2 linked regions of the Bombyx mori genome follow. The protein of the gene in region 1 purifies or fractionates together with the protein of each later gene. This does not show direct contact. Links are inferred from orthologs where the notes say so. Each region holds a gene or a part of one and is shown in the gene's direction. Other genes may lie near its edges. The genes, in order: myotubularin-related protein 9 and ATPase inhibitor-like protein.

Region 1 (4,507 bases):
GTCCCCATAATTTTCATACCCCGGGCCTATATATGTAAATCGATTCTAAAGGAGTAAACTCCAAAAAACTTTTTTACACAGTCGAAATTATATTCCTAACATTAGTAAAATAACATTTTAATACGATAGGTAAGAGGATGGAAAATATGTATTTGGTCTAACTTAACGCCAATGCACATTATTTCATTTATTTATTTTTAAATTTTTTTAATTAAACTGTATACCAATTAATTGCTCCTTCAGGATTTATGTTTGTTTTTTTTTCACGATTAAAACCGCGTAGAAAGTTTAGGCATTATAGTTGACGCATGCGCAGTACACATATTTTGCATACATTTATTCAACTAATAAAAATAGTAAATTAAACAAAAAACGAGTAATTTCGAAAGAGAACAAACGTGTTTTATATAAGAACAATCGAAAATGAATATTTACGAGTCATTAAGGATGAAAAAATATTAAAAATTGCATTAGAGGGGCTAACTTGTAGGTATATTTTAAAATATTTTTTTTAAATAAATAACTGCAGAACAAATAATTATTAACAGTGAACAATCATGAACAAATGATGAACAAACGAATTAATAGAAAATAAGTATAAAATAGGAAAAAAAAAATTTTTTGAGGGGCTAACTTCATTCATCTCAAACTCATTCTGATAAAATCGTGCCTATTGTACTCTGTTGCATAGATTTAACTCTATTTAAAAAAAGTCTTCCTTTAGGAAATGGAACAAAGAAAAAAATTAGTCGACACTTCGTCAAAAAATTTAAAATTAAATTGCAATTGTTATCTTAAATTGTTTTTGAGTGTTATTTTCTACATATAAATAACAAAAGTAATAAATCAGTGTTATAATGTTTTTTTTAATGTATAAACTGATTACTATACTTATTATCAAAACAAAAAAATGTCTTGGTTATTATCTTATTAACTCCATGGTTATTATTTTGGCTTGTAGCGACGAAGTGAAGTCTATGCCCGTGTTTAAATCTCGCAGGGTCTGTCACGAAATACGTTCTTAATCCATATTTACGAACGACTTCTGTTAGGAAGAATTAACATTGTGTTATTTAAATCTAAATAACTTTTTTAAATTAAATAACGGGACAAATCACACACGGTCATCCAACCCCAAATTAGGATTCCTTGTATTGTATGTACCAGAGACTAAAAAAATATGAAATTCTTATATATTTACACATATTTAAATGTTGTCCTTGTAGGCTGACGAGCATACGGCCCTCCTGATGGTGAGTGGTTACCGTCGCCCATGGACTTCAGCAATGCCAGGGGCAGAGCCAAGCCGCTGCCTGTCGTCGAGTACTCTCCGGAAGCCTCTTTTGAAGAAGGACATGTCACAGCGTTCGGGAAACACCGGGGGGAAGTTCGTTTTAAATGCGTCGCAGAAATGATATCTGAAAATGCATTGAGAATGAATGAGTGTGGTTCCAGATTTAATGGATAAACTTTGCTTCAGTAGTGCGGGGTGGCGGGTGGTATGATGATCAAAACGAAATGATAGGATCATGCCAAATACATGATTCCTCGGAGATCTCGCCCTTCGAAGTCTCTCCATAGACCTAAATGCTCCAAACGCTCCGTAAGAATAGGGTTATCAACAATCCGAGCGGCCCTCTTCTCTATGGAGTCAAATGGAAGTAAACGGTTGGTAAGTTTAATTGAGTTTAGTCTATTCCATTTACATATCTACATCTTTGGTAGTTATAATCAACTTAAAGAAAATAAAATTATTTATAAGACTGTCAGTAGAAGTTAATTACTAATATCATTATTCATTTAATAAGCTAAGTCTTTTGATTGTCAATATCTCCCAGGTTAATGATATCTCCTCATTTGTGTGTCATTGTCATAGACTTGATCTTGATACTAAAATAAAAATTGAAGTGATTAATTTGATTGAGTCCGCGGAAAATAGAAATCGGAATAAATATATTCCTTTAAATTGATTTTTTTTTCAACATAAACGATATGATTAGAGATCTGCATCTCATGTAGATTAAGAATTTTCTAGTTCAATTTTGTAAGAAGTCTCGACTAAAACACAAAATCTATATTAAATCGAATAATCGTCTGAAATCAAGAATTATAAAAAAAAAGTTAATTATTATTATTAATAAAAAACCTTAGAATTTCATTTAATGTTCTTAAAATCGATTTTATTCCTTTTCTAGGTCCATGGACGAAAGTATCAACCTAGCGATGTTTTGTTGACATTGTTGACAAGCCCAACTTTGTGCTTAATTTGTCAAAACGTAAAACAGCTGCGCTAGTGTTCACTATTTAAATCTTAAAAACGAGAAGTTATGGAATTCATCGAACTTATTCATATTAACAAACTTAATGGAGTTATTCTTAAATATCCACGTCAAGATAATATAGACGGTACGGTGTGCATCACCGGACATCATCTTATATTGAGCTCCAGAAAAGAAGGCGTTCAGGAGTTATGGGTACAAAATTTCACTTCAAACAGTTCTGGATTGGCTTGGGCCAGATAACTAAAACTTTGAGTTCTGCTCAAAAACAGAGAGCAAACAATTAGCGATTTGTTAATTACGTGGTCTTCGAGGGTCGTTAATGCCTTGTTGCAATTAGAACTTAATAATCTTTAAATATTTTCAAAATTGTCGATTTGCATTTTATAATTAAATTTGCAAACATCCAGGGTAGATTTCATTTAAACCTTGATGATCATAGATAAGCAGTAAGCACCGATTTGGTTGTGCCCCTGGAATTGTCAATACCTATGAAATGTAATAAGCACTTGCCATGAGATGGATATTTTGCTCATCAAACATTAGGTCATTTTTTTATATTCATCACAATGAAATAAAATGTAGTCTAAGTTCTGTTTCTTGGGACATTTATTCCCTACTATATTTAATGTGAATTAACAGTAGTCAATAAATATCAGTGACTCCCCCTTAGGTAGCCCTGCTTACAAATAAAATAACTATATCTGAAAATCATTATGGTGTTCTGTAAATTATATATGTTAGTATATAAGTTATATATATTTATATGACTTAAAAGAATATTTTTTTTGCACAAACTATTAAACCTTTGCATAAATTAATACAAATACACGCAATAAGTTTTTATTTAAATATAAATGACCTGAATCATTTTAAGTTTAATAAGTAGTTTTAAAGTTTGTGTGTTTATTTTTAGTTCTACAGTATATTTAATTAATGGAACAGTTTGTACAGTGTATTTCTTTTGGCATTACAGTTACTGCACAAGAATATAGACAGCATAGAGAAAAAAGAAAACAAACCAAGCAGTGGCATCACACAGGGTGGTTCTCTGTTCCTCAAATGTAAAGACTTGAGAATTTTTCAACTGGATATTGCCAGTAGTACTGAATTAAATTTAATGGCACAGACCTTAGAGAATTTATCAAGTTTGCAAGATCCGAGTCTGTTTTACCCATTCTTTTATAGACATATGAATCCTATAGTTGAGAACGGATACACTTTATATAGGTAAGTTAATTTAATATACTGAAACATTTAAGAGAGCACTGATCTGAAGTGATATTCAAAAGCAAATTTTCATATTCAACTAGATGTTACTAAGCAAACTTTACAAGCACACCTAGTTATGTATGTACTGTAAATATATGGAATCTATCTAAATATATTATGGAATAAATATCTATATCTATTGGAAGTATGTAGTGCACTACTACAGATAAATCTATAGTTATATATTTAATGGTATTGGGGCATCTTGTGAACCCATATGGGACCATCACTCTGCTTATTTCTGGTGCAAAGCATTAGTGTTGTAAGTAATATAGAACTGAGACCTAGACCTCATGTCTCAAAGTGAGTAGTGGTATTTATGTTGTTAATCTCAATGGTCGCCAGTTACTAGATAACATTAAACCACAATACAACAACAACAATAAAAAACAAATTGCAGCTATACCCCCAAAGAGATGTACTACTGTGTATTGCGATGACTACTAGATGTACTATACCTACTGTATATACCTTACATACCTAGGTACCTAGTGCATTAACCTTCCCATCTTCTTAGCTAATACAAACCCTAAAAAATACAGTATAGAAGAAGAATTCACTAAAGTACTAGCAACGGAAGAGTGGAGAGTATCCAGAGCAAATCAAAATTACACAATGTGTTCAAGCTACGGTAAAGCTGTGGTTGTACCGAAAAACATCGATGATGAGACCCTAGTAGCTGCTGCTACATTCCGTCAAGGAGGCAGGATTCCTGTCCTGTCATATAGGCACACTAATGGTGTAAGTTTATTTCCTATCCATTTAATCATGATTTGATTGATTTAGATCAAAATTCTTAATAAAGCATGAAATCAATATTTTAATGATATGAGTTTAATGGCCTGTATAAATGTTAATTTTTTTTGTAAAGTAACTGGGTTACTTTCTGTCTATTGTTTGATATGTGTTACTGTAAGGCCTTCAAGGTCCACAATTATCATTTCATCCATGATTCT
Region 2 (3,657 bases), on another chromosome or scaffold:
TTTTGCAACGGAATCATAGATCATATACTTAGTATTTGAGACGGAATCGTTTAAATTCGATCCCTCTGAAATAGTTACCAAATGCGGAAATAAAACATAAAATTGTTATTTTTCATATTGACAAAAATAAAACCGAAACATTAAGCGGCATAACAATGGCAGTGCATGAGCTGATGTTCAACTTAATAATTCCTGGTGAATACCGCTGATTACATCTTTCAATTTCTTGTAATGCATTATTATTAATGAATTGCTGTTCGTTAGTCTCGCTAAAACTCGAGAACGGCTGGACCGAGTTGGCTAATTTTGGTCTTGAATTATTTGTGAAAGTCCAGAAAAGGTTTAAAAGGTAGATAAATACAAAAATGCTTGGAATTAAATAAAAATAACAATTTGTTTTCCCTTTCAAGTGTCGCCCGTCGGACGGATTCCTTTTTTATGTTTTAAGTTTATTTTATACAAAAGCTTAGGTCTTTTATTTATCGATTGAGGCACTACGAAATCTGCCGGGTCAGCTAGTTATGATGTATTTTTCGTTCATACACAGTACCCAAAGGTTAGGTATCTACGTTCGGGTACGTATACTAAGTATTGTTAAGTAACAAAAAAATAATTGACATGTTTTTTCCTTAATTTAGAGATCTTGACCAGTCATGTTGCAGCGGTACAAATATAAATGGTTCGTCTTCGTCTACATTTGAAGTAATTTATAGAAATAGTAGAAATTCTCGAGAATTTGAAGCTTCTTGTACAACTTCTGAGCAAGATTCGACTGCCAATGACACTGAAATGGCTTTAGAAGAAAACAGAGATGTTGAAGAAAACATACAAAAATCAAGGCATGCATCAGTAATGACAGACTTTGAAGATATTGATGATGAAACGAATGACACGATCAGAAATCAAGCGAAAGAATTCTTAAAGTTAGTTGTCTGATATTGTACCATTACATTTTTGAAATTTAGTATCTCAAAACGCTTAGTGCCATCTAGAGCGTTTTTTTTAAACTATGTATTAAATTTTGTTTCGACCTATCTATTTTCACGCTCACATTTTTAGATATACCTGCACGGAAAGGCAAATAAAGATGGAGTCTTTAAAAGAAGAAAGGCAGGTTATTAGAGCAATGCGAGAAACTGCAGAATTAAATAAAATTATAGCTGAACAAAAACTAAAACATGTGTTATGGGTGAATAAACAACAGATGGCGTTAGTTTGAATCTTTTTCTCGTTTACTTTAATTCTAACATTTCTAACATAAGTCTTGTTTAATCATTTTTCCTTAAGTATAAAAAATGTTTTAAATATTTTTTTAACAAATTTTTAAATTCAATTTTAAAATATTATTTTCAAAACGTACTTGGTAGATGTTTTCGAACGCTTCAAGAGCATAGTGATATTTTGAGAAACGTCAAGTGTGCTGGTTTTTCATTCTTGATAGAAAATCCTGAATAATTTGGAAAAATCACAGCGAATTTTGATACAATTTAAACATTAACGAAAATCATGAATTTCCTTCCCAAAACAAGAACGTCATTCGTGCGTGCTATCGTCAATGTTAGGTAAGGGCTTAGCAAGAGCCACAAGCGGCCGGCAGGTTACGCAACAAATTTGAAAAGCGCATTTAGAGAATGTTTTTTACTTTTGCAATAACGTAAATTGATATTATTTTTGGTTTTTGAGTACTGTTTAATACATTGTGACTAGAAACTTGAGCATGGCAATAAATGAAAACAATTTCTTAGTTTCATTGTTTAAAGTCACATTTTTAATCATTCAGTAGACAGATGGTAGGTAGGTAGGTATTTAGGTATTTACTCATCTATTGTCAATGATGCAATAAAATAAACAATAACTCTGAATCATCATAATATTTTAATTGTGTGGCAATTTGTATCCCCCATTTAAACCATATTTGTAATTTCAGTTCTTATTTAAAAAAAAAACAACCATCTTTTAAAATTTACATCATAGATTCAGAAAAATTATTTGAGATGATTTATTAGTAACTTTTTACCCTAAAATTCTTAAACCATATATGTGCAAAACTCAGAAAGGCAAATAATATGTTTTTATTAAATATTAAACTCAATAGTAGGATTTAATATAATTTGATTATAGAATGTATGCAGGCGAACCTGGATCTGGAGCCGGTAAGGGTGGTGGTGGTGGTGGTTCGATTCGAGAAGCCGGTGGTACCTTCGGTAAAATGGAAGCTGCTAGAGAAGATGAATACTTCTACAAGAAGGTATAGAATATTTTAGTCTCATAAGATGTAAACTTTGGAAGCTGGAAAGGCTATACCACTTTTATTATAAACTAGCTGACCCGGCAGACTTCCTAGTGCCTCAATCGATAAACAAAATACCTAACTTTTGTATAAAATAAACTTAAAACAAACAAAAGGAATTGTCTGACGGGGGACCCACAAAGGAAAACAAAATTGTTATTTTTATTAAATTCCCAGCATTTTCAAATTTATCTAATCCTTTTAAATCTTCTCTGGACTTCCACAAATAATTCAAGGCCAAAATTAGCCAAATCGGTCCAGCCGTTCTCGAATTTTAGCAAGACTAACGAACAGCAATTCATTTTTATATATATAGATAGAAGATACAGATATTCTGTTAACCTTCAATCGAATGTGGAGCTACTGCCAGAAAATCCTGCGTTAACTTGAAAAACTAGATTTCGCTTGTCTGTTTTTGGTTTAGTTATGAGTATAATAGTAGAATAGAACAGTGTTATTTATTTATTCTATAGATTAAAATGATCTAATCCCTAAATTATGTTTTGTGGTAATGGGAGCAACTTTATAGTGGCAACCATGAATTTAAAGCTTCAATTAATTAAATTGTATAAATGGGGGAACACTTTGTATATGAATCAATGATTAGTCAGGTCAGTGGTACTTACCCACGTGGACAGTATCGCTCCTGAAGTTAATATGAAATACATGGGCTACAGATGCCTTCTTAATCATCAATCAACATTTGAGCTGGGTTTTTTTCATTGACAGCAAAAGGAACAACTAGCAAACCTGAAGGGGCACTTGAACAAGGAGATTGCCTTCCACCAGGAGCAGATCAAACGACATGAGGATGCGATCAGGCGTCACAAAGAACAAATGTCTGACATTGAAAAGCCCCAATGAACTGGACATCGATAGTGATAGTTTTCGAAGGCCTAAGAATATTCCTACAAAACAAAGAAGAATATAAAATTTATATTGTTTTAAGTAAACTCTCCGGCTTTTATTTTCTCTAGTTACTAAATTTCAAAATAAAAAACTAAGTAATTTTTGTGTAGTATTTTTCTTAAATCAATACATAGAGCTGGTATTGATAAGTTAAATTAATGAACAGTGACTTGCTTTTCTCTTTGGTATTGGATTTGATTTAAGTATTACTTATCAAAGATTTATTAAATGAAGTTTCAATACAACAATAGTCACTGCCTTTTAAATGATTTACTCGTTTTAGAAGCGCAAATATACTATCATACGTGAATAACTCTGCTAATAATTTCTAATTCATATACTTTTTTTTTTTTTAACGCTGGGGATTCCATTTACCCGGTCGAGGGGGGTAACGGACCGGGCTATGTCGAACTCCGGCGCCTCCTGAGAGGAAGAAGGGGAGAAGAGAAGGGCCGAGG

What was found.
Region 2: the proteins of myotubularin-related protein 9 (region 1) and ATPase inhibitor-like protein purify together in Homo sapiens (affinity purification with mass spectrometry; 5 studies listed by BioGRID and IntAct, with this or other methods). This does not show direct contact. The link is inferred for Bombyx mori from reciprocal best matches to the Homo sapiens genes MTMR9 and ATP5IF1.

Annotation. Positions count from the first base shown.
Region 1 is NC_085121.1:12,311,257-12,315,763, reverse strand, and holds the start of myotubularin-related protein 9, read left to right. Parts: upstream 1-1,475; 5' UTR 1,476-1,672; intron 1,673-2,195; 5' UTR 2,196-2,327; coding exon 2,328-2,474; intron 2,475-3,255; coding exon 3,256-3,509; intron 3,510-4,093; coding exon 4,094-4,292; intron 4,293-4,507. UniProt on the Homo sapiens protein: Acts as an adapter for myotubularin-related phosphatases. Increases lipid phosphatase MTMR6 catalytic activity, specifically towards phosphatidylinositol 3,5-bisphosphate and MTMR6 binding affinity for phosphorylated phosphatidylinositols.
Region 2 is NC_085111.1:3,390,486-3,394,142, reverse strand, and holds ATPase inhibitor-like protein, read left to right. Parts: upstream 1-1,506; coding exon 1,507-1,562; intron 1,563-2,121; coding exon 2,122-2,248; intron 2,249-3,019; coding exon 3,020-3,154; downstream 3,155-3,657.